2 linked regions of the Notamacropus eugenii genome follow. The protein of the gene in region 2 binds, or shares a complex with, the protein of the main gene of each other region. Links are inferred from orthologs where the notes say so. Each region holds a gene or a part of one and is shown on either strand. Other genes may lie near its edges.

Region 1 (7,995 bases), about 93 Mb from region 2:
GGTAAGGATTATGAGGTGTATGTTTGTGGCACGGTACCTAATATTTCACACATATAGAAAAAATATTTTAAACAGCTAAGAAATGATCTCAGAGGCTAAGGAAAGGCCTAAAAGATAAAGAAGTAACTGACTGGACACAGTGCAATTTGAGTGGACACTACATTTATCTGAAAGACAGTTCTCCAAACCTGTCTCCTTCCTTCTTTGGCCATGATAAAGGACTAGGCAGAGAAGGTCAGGTTGAGAATGAAACAGATGCAATGTACTGAGTTTTCTGGTTTTCAAAGAAAGCTGTACTTATGCATCACATAGCACCAGGCTAGAAATCTCAAGCACTGCATGTTGCCACATGCACCTCTAAGCACAGAGAACATACTTCTTATCTCTAAAATGAATTCTCAAGTATTACTAGACTTTAGACGAAAGGTAAATCAAAAATGCATGCTGTTTTTCATTAATATTGTGGCTTATTTATGATCTCTTAAGTGAAAAGGAATACTATTTCCTCCTTAAAAACAGAAACACCTTGAACCCATAAGGATAAAAATTAGAAGGCCATACCTAAACCATCAGAGTTGAAAATCTATTCTATTTTTAAATATCCAGAAAAACAAGACATTCCTCAACTTCCCTTATTAACTTATCCCTAACTCTAATACCGTTTGACACAAATTCCCCATGTTTTGGCTTCAGCACAGTGCCTAAAGATTACTACTAATGGCATCTAACATTTACATAGGGCTTTGAGGTGTGCAAAGAGCTTAAGAAGTATTATTCTATCTGGTCAAGTTTCTTCAGTTGAATTAAACCAACTTTCTCTAATGCTGCTTCCAGTAAGGAACAGCTGAGATGGTGAGGAGAGCACATAGAAGACGGCTGACTTGACATAACTGAATCAGTTCAACAATGCAGGATACTTAGAAGAGTCTAAGAGGAGCTGTATCTGAAGTGAAGTTCCCAGAACTACAAAGCAGTTGAACTTTTGATACACTAGTACTGAAATAAGACTAGACAGGTGCCCTAAGTAAAAAGCAAAACTAGGGGAGAAGCACATCATCCCCAGCACTAGTCAGCGGCCCCACTAAGTAAGCAACACAAAGGAAGCTATGTTGGAAGGCACAGAGGAGGGAGGTGGCAGTGCCCTGTTGTCAGACCACACGGAATATTTCATTACTTTCCAGGCACCAGATTTTAGAAAGGACTTCAGTAAAGCAAACAGCTTCAGGAGGAGGGCAACCAGGAGAATGAAGGGTCCCATGCCCTTTAATGACACTGCTGCCTTCCCTCTGCAAGTATTTCCAATTTAACCTGTATATCTCCTTTGCTGTCAGAATGTCACCCCCACTAGACTGTAAGTTTCTTGAACACCTGGATTATTTTTTTGACTTTCTTTGTGTGCCTAGGGCTCAGCACAGTACTTGGTACATACCAAGCACAATAAAAGCTCAAAGACGTGACCTGACATATTTGAACTGGTGGAACAACGTAGGAATGTTTAGCTGGGAGAAGAGTGGAAAAGGAACTGGGATGCTGAAATGAGAGGAGGTAGTTTTGCTCGTTCCCACAGGGCAGAATGAAGAGGAATGGCCAAGAGGAAAATATAGGTTTGACTTAATGGAGGAAAAAAAGCTCCCCAACAGCTGTCCTTTGGTGAAATGGTGAGCCTCTGGCTGGTTCCCCAGTGGTAATGACTGTCCCCTCATTGGAGTCACCTCGGCATCTTGATGTCATGTTCCTCTTCGAGAACGAAGGACAAACACAACAACAAGACATCTTCAAGAAAAGGGTCGGGGGGTAGGTAGGTGGCCTACTATGCGCCAAACACGGGGTTAAGCCCGGGAAATGTCAGCTCCTGCTCCCCCAGACGTGGGTAAACTGAACACAACCAGCAGAAGGGGACAGAATTCAGAGGTACAGGGGAGAGCCTCCTGTTGTAGAAGGTGGGGTTTTAGATGAAATTTGAAGGAAATCGGGAGATGTCTACGAAGAGGGAGGGCACTCCAGGCATGGGGGACAAGCCAGAGGAAATGCCTGGAGTCTGGAGACGGCGGCGTCTGGACTTTTGGTTGTTTGTCTTGGTTTTTTTTTTTTTTTGGGGGGGGGGGATGACTTGGTCGGACTTGTGCTTTAATAAGATGGTTCTAGCAGCTGAGTGGTTAAGGACCTTGACGGCAGACATTATCTTCCCTTTTTATCCACTGTAATCCCAGCGTGCCTGGCACACAAAAGCGCTCCCAGAGGCACTTAGGAAACGACGACGGGTTAGCCTGGAGTTGGGGAGCCTCGGTGCCCCCCAAGAGCTTTCCTCGCAACTTTGCGATGGAAGCCCCAGGAGGAATGGAGAAATTTAAGAGAACGGGGGCGGGGGTCCCTGGCACCTCGGGATCCCCGGACACCAGCCCCCCTGGCCCAGAGGACTCACCGGTCCCCCCGGTTCCCAGGAGCCTGTCGGGGACCCCGCGCAGCTCATCGTACAGCCCGCGGAAGATCTCGTGCAACTTCTCGAAAGGCTCTGAGGACACAGCAGCCGCCATGGCGTAGGGCGAGCTTCCCCGACACCGGCAGGGCCGAGGTCCCGGGCCGAGGGGCCCGCTTCTAGCCCAGCGTCGGGCTCAACCGCCGTATTAGCGACTCCATGGCCCCCAGCTAGTTCGACCGTCGCCACAGCGGAAGGCTAGGCGCTTCCGGGAGACTGAAGCAGCGGGGTCCTTTAGAGCCGGAAATCGCTCCACGAGGTCCCACCTTGCCACCCACCGGGGGCAATCCAAGATATGCCTGATGAGAAACCTAAAACATTTCCGCGTAAGGCAGGGAGAAGCCGAAGCCACCCTATCTCTCTTCTCTCGTCCATGAGCCGTGCTGTGATTTGGGCGCCAGACTGGAGACGACTAAGCTGTCACAAGTGGGTGAGCGAGAGTTAAGAGTCACCCGTTGCACTAGGCGATAATGGAAGAGAGAAAAAAAAAAACAGGGCCGTAGGAAAGCTGTGGTTTCGCGGTGCATTGAGGGAGTTGTAGTTCGACGTAAGCGACTCGTGACAGTCCCGGTGATAAGGCGACATGCTTCCCCAAGACGCGATCGGATTGTGCGTCATCACGCATAGTCACGTGCCAGTCCACTGAGACTATCTGCTTCTCTCTTTTTTTTTTTCTCCAGCTAAGACTGGTTTATTAACTCTGAAGGCTTGATGCTTCCTCTTTTACAGGTCGGGCAACTGAGTCCCGGAGAGGATTTACACATAGCAGCCAAGGTGATTTTCCTAATCCTAGCAAGTTTTTATTTTTTAAACTTTATTGATATTTTGTTTAAAATTATAGATTATTCCCGCGTCGTTACGAGGTCTCTTAAAACAGGTACAACTCAATACAGGGACCTCGTCTGAAAGTGCAGGCGCCATATTTTTTTTTACTTGGTTTCTCTTGGGCTTTCTTGGTCTGCATTTTCTTTTGCAACATGTCTAATATGAAAATGTTTTGCCTGACTGCACCTGTATGATCAATATCAAATTGCTTGCCTTCGAGGGGGGGGAAGGAGGTGGAACTCCAAATTTTTTAAAAGAATGTTAAAAATTTTTGTTTGACATATAATTGAGGGGAAAAAATAAAAAATAGATTAAAATGTAATTGAGAAATATTTAACAATAAATTTAAAATCCACAAAAAAGAGGTAAAAAATAAAAAATAAATTAAAATGTAATTGAGAAATATTTAACAAAATAAATTTAAAATCCACAAAAAAAAAGTGCATGCAACACACCAAAAAAATCAGAAATTAACAGAATTAGGCGGATCAGGTATACTGGAATGAAGAAACATGAGAAGACACTCCTGTGGGAGGTCCAGGGGTGTTACACGTTGCACATGCTTTCTGATTTTTTCAGCATGTCAATCAGTGGTACTGATCTTTCTTCCAAAAAAAAAAAAATAACAAACTGCACCTATTTGTTACACAAAAGATGGCTCTCTGGGAAGGGGAGGGAAAAAGGATATGAGGGAGAGATATGTAAGGAAAAGAAAACATCAATAAAAATTTTTTTTTCACAGTAATCTATTTTCTCTCCCATTTTAAAAAAAGATTAAAAAAGGAAAGTTTTTGTAACAATTATACATTGTCAGTTATAAACAATTATAAATTTCTCTATTGACTATATCAAATTGTCTCCTCATCATCTCTCTAATAGTATATTTCATTGTCCCTCTTCTGCAGTTATGAAGTGTCATTGTATTAATCACAGTTCTTACAGCTTTCAAAGTTGTTTTTACAGTGTTTTTGTCTAGAATTATTGTGCTTCTGCTCATTTAATTTTTTAGTAGTTTATAAGAGCCTTCAAAATTGTTCATTTTGATCATATTGATGTTGTAGTATAAACTGTTCTTTTACGTCTTAATTGAGAGAAGGTTTTCACTTGTTTTTCCGTTGTGTCTGACTCTTTGGAGTTTTCTTAGCAAAGATGGTTCACCATTTCTTTCTCCAGCTTATTTTATAGATGAGAAAACTGAGGTAAATAGGGTGAAGGAACTTGCCCAAAGTCACGCAGCTAGGAATTTTCTGAGGCCAGATTTGAGCTCAGGAAGATGCTTTCCTGACTCCAGGCCCAGTGCACTATCCATTGTACCACCTAGTTCAGTATTCACTAAACTACTGTGGCTCCCTTTTATCTCCAAGATCAAATATAAATCTCTTTATTGTCATTTAAAGCCTTTCACAGCCTGACCCTTTCCTACCCTTCTAGCCTTCTTACACAGTTACTCCTCACCACCATCCATCCATACACTGGCCTACTGGCTGTTCCTTGATTGGGGCCCTGCCTGAAGGCTTCTCTGGACCTTCCTAGCTTGAGAGTGATTATCAATAGTAACTGTTGCTGTTTCCCATCCTGCCTGATGGCTTTCTTTTTCTTAACCTCATTAAAGGAGCCATGCCCTGGCTACTTCTTAAACAGACCTATTCAATGAATGGGAGTTGCCTCACCCTAAGTAAGTACCTGCAAAGACCTTGGCCTAAAGGTCTCCCATTGCATCTTGGGCCATCTCCAGTCATCCTGATGAATATCTGGTCACTGGATTCAGATGACTCTGGAGGAGAAGTGAGGCTGGTGACCTGCACAGCCCTCCCACACTCAAAACAAAGTCAAGTGCAAGTCATGTCATTATTTTTCTGATGGTATGATGTTCCTCAGCAGTGAAGGATGGACACAAAATGCCATTCCCTATTCCAACTCCATTCCTTTACATGAAGTTCCCTTCTAACTTCTGCTTCCTGGCTTCCTTCAAGTCTTGACTTAAATTCCATCTTCTGTAAGAAATCTTTTGCAGATACTTTGGGTTCTCTCCTGTATGTCTCAAAGGGATTGTGTATTGTTTTGTGCTTACAGGACCTCCCTTTGTACACAGTGCTGATTCCCAAGCCAAATCCCAAATTACAAGTAGGACTGCGAAAGGTGTTGAGGAGGGTCAAAAATTTTGAATTTTTTCCCAATTAAAAGTGACTGATCAGGAGTCATTTTCCAATCTATAGTAATACAATTTGGTTTTTGTTTAAGTTTGCCTTACTGATTGCAAACAGAATCACATAAGTCCTGGATGTTTGACCCCCTCACCCACTAGGGGCATCCCTTCTCCCAAGAACAAAGGGACATGTGCACCTATTCAGCAGTTGGTTCAGTTAAAGGCATAGCTGGCATGTTAGATCAGACACATAAATATTAGACTCTCCTGTTCTCCCAACCCCAAGGGCATAAAACTGGGCATAAAATGAAAACAGCAAATACATAGTTCATTCTTGAGGATTAGTGACATCAGGAAGGTGATGCCATGACTTGCAAGAGAATTGGAATTAAGTGAGGGAAGGCTGTGCAAAGTCAACAGCTTCACTCTCTCCTCCAGAACCATTCGGGTCCATTGGCAAGATATAGATCCGCACATATGGAGATGGCCAGAGATGTAGTGGGAGACCTTGGCTTTTTTAAGCTAAGGTCTTAGGTCTGTTTGTCTGAGGCAACACCCATACAGTGCTTAAGGATAGGTGGTGTTGTTTGTCCTTTGTTGACCAATAATAACATCAGGAAGGTGATGTCATGACTTGCAAGGGAATTGGATTTACTATGTGGAGTACCACCTCTGTCTCTAGTAGATAACAGGTGAAGGATTAGGTCCTAATTATTGGGTGAAACAAATAAGCCTTCAAAAAACAGTCATTGGTGTTGGGATCCTTTTCCAGGTTAACTGAGTCCATGAAGTCAATCAGGAATTTCTTCCTTTGCTGCTCAGAGGTCAGTCATGGCAGACTGATGTATTCAGGTCTTCCATTTATTAATCTTGGTGGCAGTATAACTGGTCAGCAGAATATGATAAAATCCCTACTGAATGACTCACTTGGTCTCTGTATACCACAACATACCTGTAGCCCATAGGCTTTGGCAGTTCAGCCTGCAGATTTTCTATTGGTACAGCCCATCACCTTCCCCCATTTTGTCACAGTTTTCTTCTTTGAGGAGTTAAACTGTTGACAAGAAAGGGAGCTAGAGACCATGAAATGGGTCTCTGCATTAAACACTGGGCAAACCATGACGTTACAACTTGCAGTTCAAAGTCCTTGGTTCCCAAATCATATCAATCCAAGCAGACAGGTAAAAGGTCCATTACACACATATGGCTAATAAAACAAGCAAAATTACAATAGGATGAATACAAAACCCAATATAGCTGTAGCTTAAAGAGTGTGAAGTCATTTGGCACCGACCATGATCTTCAGAAGTCTGATAAATACCTCTTGTACATCTCAAAGGGCTATGCATGGATCAAGCCAGGTTTGTGGAGGTATTTCCTCAACCATCTTCAGGTTCTAGGCACTTGTAGAGATTCTCTGGGTAATGCCTGCTAGTGATAAGACTTAATATAATTTTGTAAAATGTGACAAAATCTAATCAGATTGACCTTTAAGTAATTAGTTCCTTTGGTGAAACTCATTCAGACCTTATGGATCTAGTCCTATTAACAACAGAATTATAAGAAGAATATCAAATTAGAAACTCATAATTAACCGGGAACTTCAGAGAAATTCAGTTTTCACATAACACTTGTTCTTTCTGTCTTTACTCAAACCCTGGTATCTGGTATGGATATGGCCATCAAAAAACTGAAGGAAGAATCTTTAAAAAGAATCCATACTGTGTCCAGAAGGCTATAAAACTGTGCATACCCTTTGATCCAGCAACACCACTGCTAGGTCTATATTATAAAGATTTTTTTTTTGAAAGGAAAAAGACCTACTTGTACAAAAATACTTATAGCCACTCTTTTTGTGGTGGCTAAGAATTGGAAATCAAAGAGATGCCAATCAATTGGGGAATGGATAAACAAGCTATGGCATGTGATTGTGATGGAATATAATTGTATTATAAGAAATGACAAGCAGAATGGTTCCAGAAAAACCTGAAAAGACATATATGAACTGATGCAAAGTGAAGTGAACAGAACCAGGAAAATGTTGCACAGAGTAACAACAATATTGTAAAATGAAGAACTGTGAATGACTTATTTATTCTCAGCAATACAATGATCCAAGATAATCCCAAAGGACTAATGACAAAGTATACTATCTGCCTCCAGAAAAAGAACAGATATTCTTTGAATACAGACTAAAATATTGCTATTTTTCACTTTCCTTCTTTCCTTCTCTTTTATTCAAGTCTTCCTGTACATATTGACTACATGATTGCTAATGTGTAACCTATATCTGATTGCTTATTATCTGGGGGTGGGGTAGGAGGAAGAGATGAAAGGATAGAATTTGAAACTCAAAGCTTTTTTAAAAAATACAAATATTAAAAAATTGTTTTAATATGCAACTGGGGAAAATAAAACATTTTTAAAAAATGTTTTATAAAAAAGATCCATGGGGGCCTGACTTGGCAAATGAACCCTTTTGTCTTTGGTGAGGACTTCCCCAGGTGGTACAGGCAGATGAGAACAGTTTGTTTCATTAGCCATGAAG
Region 2 (7,153 bases):
AAAAACAAGTATTTTATCATTCAGCACAGACCACTACCCTCTAGGTCCAGGATGGGTTGCTTTGGATCAGCTTGGTTGTACCAAGCTCCATTCTCCAGATTCTCCATCTACAGACCAGGAGCTATAAATGAAATAGCAATGCTTTTAATTAGGACAAAATAGCAAAGTAAATAAGGAAAAGTTGCCCCCCCCCCCCCACACACACACAAAGGGAACAACATCTCACAAACTGCTATGCCCCTGGTGGGAAAGAAAATATATTCCAGGGAAAGTTCATTATCCTGGGACCAAATACTGCCTTTGCAGCTATCAAATACTGTTTTCCCGAAGGGTTGCTACTGTCATCTTTGGCTGAGCATCTTCTTCCCCACAGAGTTACTGCCAAAGGCGAGAGCTTTTACTGGTTTCTTGGACTTCTCTCTTAAAGTGGGTGTTTATTGCTCTTTTGTAACACTGACCCTGTCTATGGCTATATCAACTCTTTTTGTTAGCTGGGACCATATTTGTACTCAGTCAGCACAGAAAAGAGTCAAAATGTTTCTTTCTTAACCTCCTCCCTCCTTCTCAGTGGAAATTTCCCCAGACCTACTAGATATTTAGGTTGGGGAGAAGCAACTACATTTCTTTCAACTCTCATATGTGCTTAGTAACTATACCAGGGCTTCACAAACTACCTTGAAACTTCCACACTGGGACTAGCAACCTTTGCCCTTTAATCCTGTAGCTATACCTGGGATACTGTTCTCCTTGTAAGTACTTTGAAGGGAATTACAACTTTATATCTAAAACGCTATTTTTAAAACCTTAAAACATTTTCTTCACAAAGATCCTGTGAGGTATGTCTTGCAAGTATTACTCCCATTTCACAGATGAGGAAACTATGGCTCAGCTGCCTGCTGTATCGGATTTAGAGACAGTGGTTCTGGCTTCAAACATAGGTTCTGCTATTGTGACTTTGGGGAAGACATCCCCTTTCCCCCCGCAGTTTACTCATCAATAAAATGAAAGTTAAATTTGATTATTTCTAAAGTCCTTTCCAAATCTAATGGGGCAGCTAGGTGGTGCAGTGGATAGAGCACCATTGCAGGAGTCAGGAGGATATGAGTTCAAATCTCACCTCAGACACTTGACACTCACTAGCTGTGTGACCTTGGGCAAGTCACTTAACCCTAATTGCCTCATCCTGGGTCATCTCCAGTCATCCTGGTGAATATCTGGTCACTGGATTCAGATGGCTCTGGAGGAGAAGTGAGCCTGGTGACCTGCACAGCCCTCCCTCACTAAAAACAAAGTCAAGTGCAAGTCATGTCATTATTTCTCTGATGGCATGGTCTTCTTCAGCAATGAAGGATGAACACACACACACACACACACACACACAATGTTGTATACTCCAGTTCTAATCCTATGACCTTCCCAAGATCTCACTAGTAACAAATATTAGAGTTCACAGGATTCCAGACTCCAAGACAGTGGATCAAATAAACAGAGGGAAAAGGATATTAGAGGTAATTGAGTTTGACCCCTGATTTGACCAAGGTCACAGTCCCCAAACTAGGATTTAAACCTAGGTCCTCCTGACTTCAAAGTCAACACCCTTTCCTATGAACTAAGCCTTGCCCTCTATGATATGTGTATACAACTATTACTGTGCCTGTTCTCAAACTTTTCACGTTGACCTATTATAAAAACATTCCTTATACCCCACTTGTCTCTCACATCAACTATCCTAAGAAGCCAAGAACATATGGTTTAAATCCTGCCTTTAACATTTATTTACTATGTGCTCTTTGGGAATTTCTGAAACTCACTTTTCTCATCTGTAAAATGTAGATTTTAGTAATTGGTAATAATTAGCTCACAAGATTGTGAGGATCACATGAATTATATCAGACATTTTCCAAACCTTAAAATATTATTAGCATCATCTCCCTTACTTCATGACCATATAACTGAAGAGTGTAGGTTTTCATAATTATAAGCCTAGACTTCCCTCATTTAAAAAAACAAACAGCCTTTTGACTTGACCCTGCCATCCTTTCAAACTACTGTCCAGCAGTTATTCATCTTAGAAAAAGGTTATTTACACTCTTTGCCTCAATTTCTTAATCCCTTAATCCTTTGCTCCTAACCCCACCATTTGATTCAAAATGCTACTTTCAAGGTAACCTAGGACTCAACTGCTAATTCCAATGTCCTTTTCTCAGGCCTCATTCTTTGACCACTTCTGTTTTTGACTCTATCAGACCTATTCTTGCATTCTCTTCACTAGACTTTATGACACTGCTCTCTTGGTTCTCTTCCTGTCTGACCAGTCTGAAGTGTGTTCGTCCTTCATTGCTGAAGAAGACCATGCCATCAGAGAAATAATGACATGACTTGCACTTGACTTTGTTTTGAGTGAGGGAGGGCTGTGCAGGTCACCAAGCTCACTTCTCCTCCAGAGCCATCTGAATCCAGTGACCAGATGACTTGCCCAAGGTCACACAGCTAGTGAGTGTCAAGTGTTGGAAGTGAGATCTGAACTCAGGTCCTCCTGACTCCTGCACTGGTGCTCTATCCACTGCACCACCTAGCTGCCCTCAACCAGCCTGAAGACTCCTTTGCTGGATCATCACTGTCTTCCCTCCTACTAATCATGGGCATCCCCATCTAGAGGCTCTGTCCTGGCCTTCTTCTCTTGATAAATTGGTGATGTCATCAACACCCATGGGTTCATCATCTCTATAGCGATTACTCTCAAATCTTATGTCTAGCCCTAATCCCTCATCTGAAATCCAGTCTGTATTACCAACTGCCTATTGGACATCTATCCCTGGATGTCCTATAGATATTACAAGTTCAAAGTATTCAAAATGGAATCATTATTATATTTTTCCCAGAACCCATTCCTCCTCAAAACTTCATTTCTGTTGAAAGTACCATCATTCTTCCAGTTACTCAGGTTCACAGTCTTCAAGTCAACCTTGGCTCTTCCCTCTCCCTCATTCTCTCCATCCAATTAATTCTTGATATTATTGCTACAATATCTCCACCAATTTCCTGCTCTCTGTTCACATAGTCTCTTACCCTAGGTTAGAGGAGGTAGCTAGGTGGTCCAATGGATAGAGTGCTGGTTCTGGAGTTAAGAAGACTTGAGTTCAAATTCAGTCTCAGATACTTACTAGCTGTGGGACCCTGGGTAAATCACTTAACCTGTCTGCCTCAGTTTCCTCAAGAGTAAAATGGGGATAATAGGAATATCTACCTCTCAGGGTTGTTGTGAGGATCAACTCTGTAAAATGTTTGGCACACAGTAGATGATATTTAAATGCTTATTCCCCTCTCCCCACCTAGTTTAGACCTTCAGAGGTTCTTCCTTGGACTACTGCAATAACCCCCAATCGCTCTCCTTGCCTGCAGTCTCTCCCCCTCTTTGATCCACCCCTTTTCTCATAGCTGACAAAATGATATTTCCTAACATCGATAGGACCGAGTCATTTCTCTACTCAGGAATCTCCCACTGCTCCCTATTTTGTCTCCGTCTTGGATAAAGCGTGAATTCCTCAGCCTGGCATTTAAAGCCCTCCTTCGTCGGTCTCACACCCACCTGCCCTTCCAGGGTTACTTCATGTTGCTCCGTGCACTCTCTATTCCGGGCAAACTGGCCTGCCGGCTGGGCTTCCCACTCTTCCCCCCCTCCCTTTGCCCAGGGGGTCCCCAATATCTGCACTCCTTTCTCATCTGCCCCTCTCGGAAGCACAGCCCCACACAGGTCACCTCCTGCACGAAGCCTTTCCTGCTCCCTCCCGGAGTTCACCTTCTCCAACTTTCTAAATTGCTTTAGGTTACTTTGTATCCCCTTACAACCCACCGAAGAACGTTAGCTCGGGGGGGAGGCGGGGATTGCTTCACTTTTGCCTTTGTATCCTGCAGCACCTGGAGCAGAGCCAGGTACACAGTAGGCGCTTAATAAATACTTGTTAAACACGGGGTTCTGGACTCGAGAGGCCAGCTCCGCTGCGTACTACGCGCATGGCCTTCAGCCTCTTCGTCCGAAGGCGGAGTATCCAAGGTCCCTCCGAGTCCTCCGTGACCCGCCTGCAGGTGGCGCTGCAACAGCGCCGGGAGAACGCGTTAATAAGAAACGCACTTTGGTTTGGCCTCTACGAAGGCCCGTAGTCGGTCCCCAAGATGGCGACTACCCTGGATGTCCACGTCCGGATGTGTAACCAAGAGATTGTCATATTCGACTTGGAGGTGAAAGCGTTTATCCAGGTAGCGGGTCCCTGCTCGAGCAACCCTTTCCTCTCACGATGGCTCACATCCGAGCCCGAAGAAGCCCGGAGCCTCGGGATCTGTGCCTCCCCCTCCCGCTTCGGGGAAAGGTGGACGGAACCCTCGCCCCCCTCCCCCACCCTTGGTTCGCGGCTACTCGCTCTCTAGACCCCCTCCCCGCTTCTGTTGGCTCCACCCCCTGCTTTCCTCCTCCCTGTTTCTGTGGTTTCCTCGTGCAGCCCCCGCCTCCATTTCCATTGGTCTCTCGTGCCCCCTCCCCTTTCATTGGTTCATTTCCTCCTCTCCCGTTTCCATTGGTTTCAGCCACTCCTTCGTTTCCATTGGTCCGCTGCAGCCCCCGCCTCCCTTTCCATTGGTCCTCGCCCTCCGTTCCCCTCACCTATGTTTATGTTGGTCCCTGATGCCCCGCCCCCCATTTCCCCACTGGTCTAACTACGAGTCGGTACTTTTCTAACTTCAGTGCGGTCTGGGGTCAGGTGGCCCCGGGGAGGCAGGGTGGAGGTGGGGCTGTGTTTGTGGGGAGGGGGGTCCTGAGAGAGCATCTCGTTCAGCCTGTTTATGTTACCGTTGAGCTCCGAGAGGTTCAAGTACCCTGCCCGTGGTGACTCCCCCAGCGTGGCTAGGGTCTGTCTCAGCCTGGGGGCGCCTGGTGCGTTCGTCTCCACCACAAACGTTTATTGAGCCCTCTCCGGGTGCTGTGCGTTGTGCCTGCTGCAAAGATAAAAATCACTTACGGAATCAGCAAGCATTTACGTCCGTACTGTGTGCCTGGTGAGCTGGGCTAATCCATGGGGATGCAGAGAAAAGCCAAAACGCAAAATCCCTGCCCTCATGGGGCGTACGTACTCATTGGGGAGACCATAAGTAAATAAGTAGGAGCCTACAAGATGTAGAGAAGAAGGAAAGTAACCTTACTGGGAAAGACTCAGATGGCTGGGAGAACCTCCGTGTAGAAGGTGGTTTTTCAGGCGTCTGGAAAGAAGAGAGGGATGTCAAATGTACAGGGAAGGAGGAGGAGCATTCCAGACATGGGGAACAGTCAGTGCAAAGGCTTGGAGACAGAAAATGAGTATATTTTGGGGAAACTAGCAAGTAGGCCAGTGTAGTTGGATTATAGAATGCATGAAAGGGAGAAGACTGGAAAGGTCAGAAGGGGCCAAGTTGCGAAGAATCCTAAAAATGACAAAGAACCTTATATTTGGTTCAAGAGGTAGTAAGGAGCCACTGAACATTCTTGAGGAGTATGGGCCTGCCTGCACTTGAGGATCTCTTTGGCAGCTGTGTGGGGGATAAATTGGATTCATAAGAGACTTGAGGCATTGCAATCAGTTGGGAGACCTTTGCAGTTTAAGTGAGAAGTGATGAAAGCCTGCACTAGGATGGTGACTTACGTTGTTGTTTCTCCTTTGTTCTTGAAGAGGACCATGACATCAGGAAGGAGATGTCATGATTTGCAAGTAAATAGGATTTAGGTGAGGGAGGACTGTGTAGTTGCCAGCCTCACTCTCTCCTCTGGAGCTCTCTGGGTTCAGTGGCAAGATAGAGATTAGGACAACTGGAGATGGCCCTGAATGTTGACATGCAGAAGAGATGTGAAAGTAGAAGCAAGATTTGGCAACTGATTGGATCTATGGGGTAAGGGAAAGGGAAGAGTCCAGGAAGACGCTGAAGTAGTCAGTCTGGGAGATTGGTGGTTCACTCAGCAGTAATAGAAAAACAAAATGAAATAATCACTTTCTTCCAAGTCACCAAGAATTTATTAAGTGCCAACTATATGCCAGACACCTTGGGGATACAAGGAAAGGGGAAAAAAAACAATTCTTGCTCTCACAAGTTTGCAGTCTGATGGGGGAAATAACATGTAAATGACTGTATAGACAAGATATGTACAGGATAAACTGGAGATAATCTCAGAGGGAAGGCTCTAAGATTTAGTAAGACTGATAAAGGATTCTTTCTGAAGGTAGGAGTTTAGCTGAGATTTGATGGAAGCCAAGAGACAGAAATGAGGATGGAATGAGTTAATAGGCCTGGGGGACAGCCAGTGAAAATGCTTGGAGTTAGAAGATAAGTGTCCTGTTCAGAGAACAGCAAAGAGGCCAATGTCATTTGATGGTAGAGTATATGAAAGGAAGTAGGATGTAAGAAGAAGACTTTAAAGGTAGAAAGGGGCCAAGCTATTTGACACTTGTTCCTGGGTAGCACCAGAGTTTATTGAAGGGGGAGAGATATGGGCAAAAGTGCATTTTAGGAAGACCAGTTGGACAGCTGAATGGAAGCCGAACTGGAGTGGGAAGAGACTTGAAGCCAGGAGTGTGTCATGAAAAACCATCTAGGCAGGAGGTGATAAGGACCTGCACCAGGGTGGTGGCAGTGTCAGAGGAGGGATGATGCAAAGATAGAATTGACAGGACTTGAGAACAGATTAGATATGGTGGATGAGAGTGAATGAGGAGGCTAGGTTTCAAGCTTGAGTGCCTGGGGTGATGGGGTGACAATAAGGAAACTTGCTGGGTAGGTTTGGAGAAAAGATGAGTTCAGCTTTGAATATGTTAAGCTTAAGGTGTCTGTGGAGCCACCAGTTTATCCAGTCAACTGTGAGAGATGTCATCCTGAAGGTTAGAAGAGAGGTTAGGGCTGGATAAATAGACCTGAGACTCCTCAGCATAGAAATGATAATTGAATCCATGGGAGCTGATGAGATCACCAAGTGAAATACGGTAAGAGAAGAGGACCCAGGAGAGAGCTTGGGGGGAAGTTAGTGAGTTAACTAGATGAAGATCCAGCAGAGAAGACTGAGAAAGGGAGGTCTGACAGGTAGGAGAAGAACTTGGAAAGAATAGTTGTCACAAAATCTAGAGAGAAGGTAGCATCC

The links. The genes of interacting proteins can lie anywhere in the genome.
Region 1: BNIP1 (region 2) and VTI1B share a complex: the UniProt entries of both Homo sapiens proteins name them as parts of the SNARE complex. The link is inferred for Notamacropus eugenii from reciprocal best matches to the Homo sapiens genes BNIP1 and VTI1B.

The regions. Positions count from the first base shown.
Region 1 is NC_092872.1:312,455,902-312,463,896, reverse strand, and holds the start of VTI1B (vesicle transport through interaction with t-SNAREs homolog 1B), read right to left. Parts: upstream 3,002-7,995; 5' UTR 2,535-3,001; coding exon 2,423-2,534; intron 1-2,422. UniProt on the Homo sapiens protein: V-SNARE that mediates vesicle transport pathways through interactions with t-SNAREs on the target membrane. These interactions are proposed to mediate aspects of the specificity of vesicle trafficking and to promote fusion of the lipid bilayers.
Region 2 is NC_092872.1:405,059,227-405,066,379, forward strand, and holds the start of BNIP1 (vesicle transport protein SEC20), read left to right. Parts: upstream 1-4,139; 5' UTR 4,140-4,173; coding exon 4,174-4,257; intron 4,258-7,153. UniProt on the Homo sapiens protein: As part of a SNARE complex may be involved in endoplasmic reticulum membranes fusion and be required for the maintenance of endoplasmic reticulum organization. Also plays a role in apoptosis.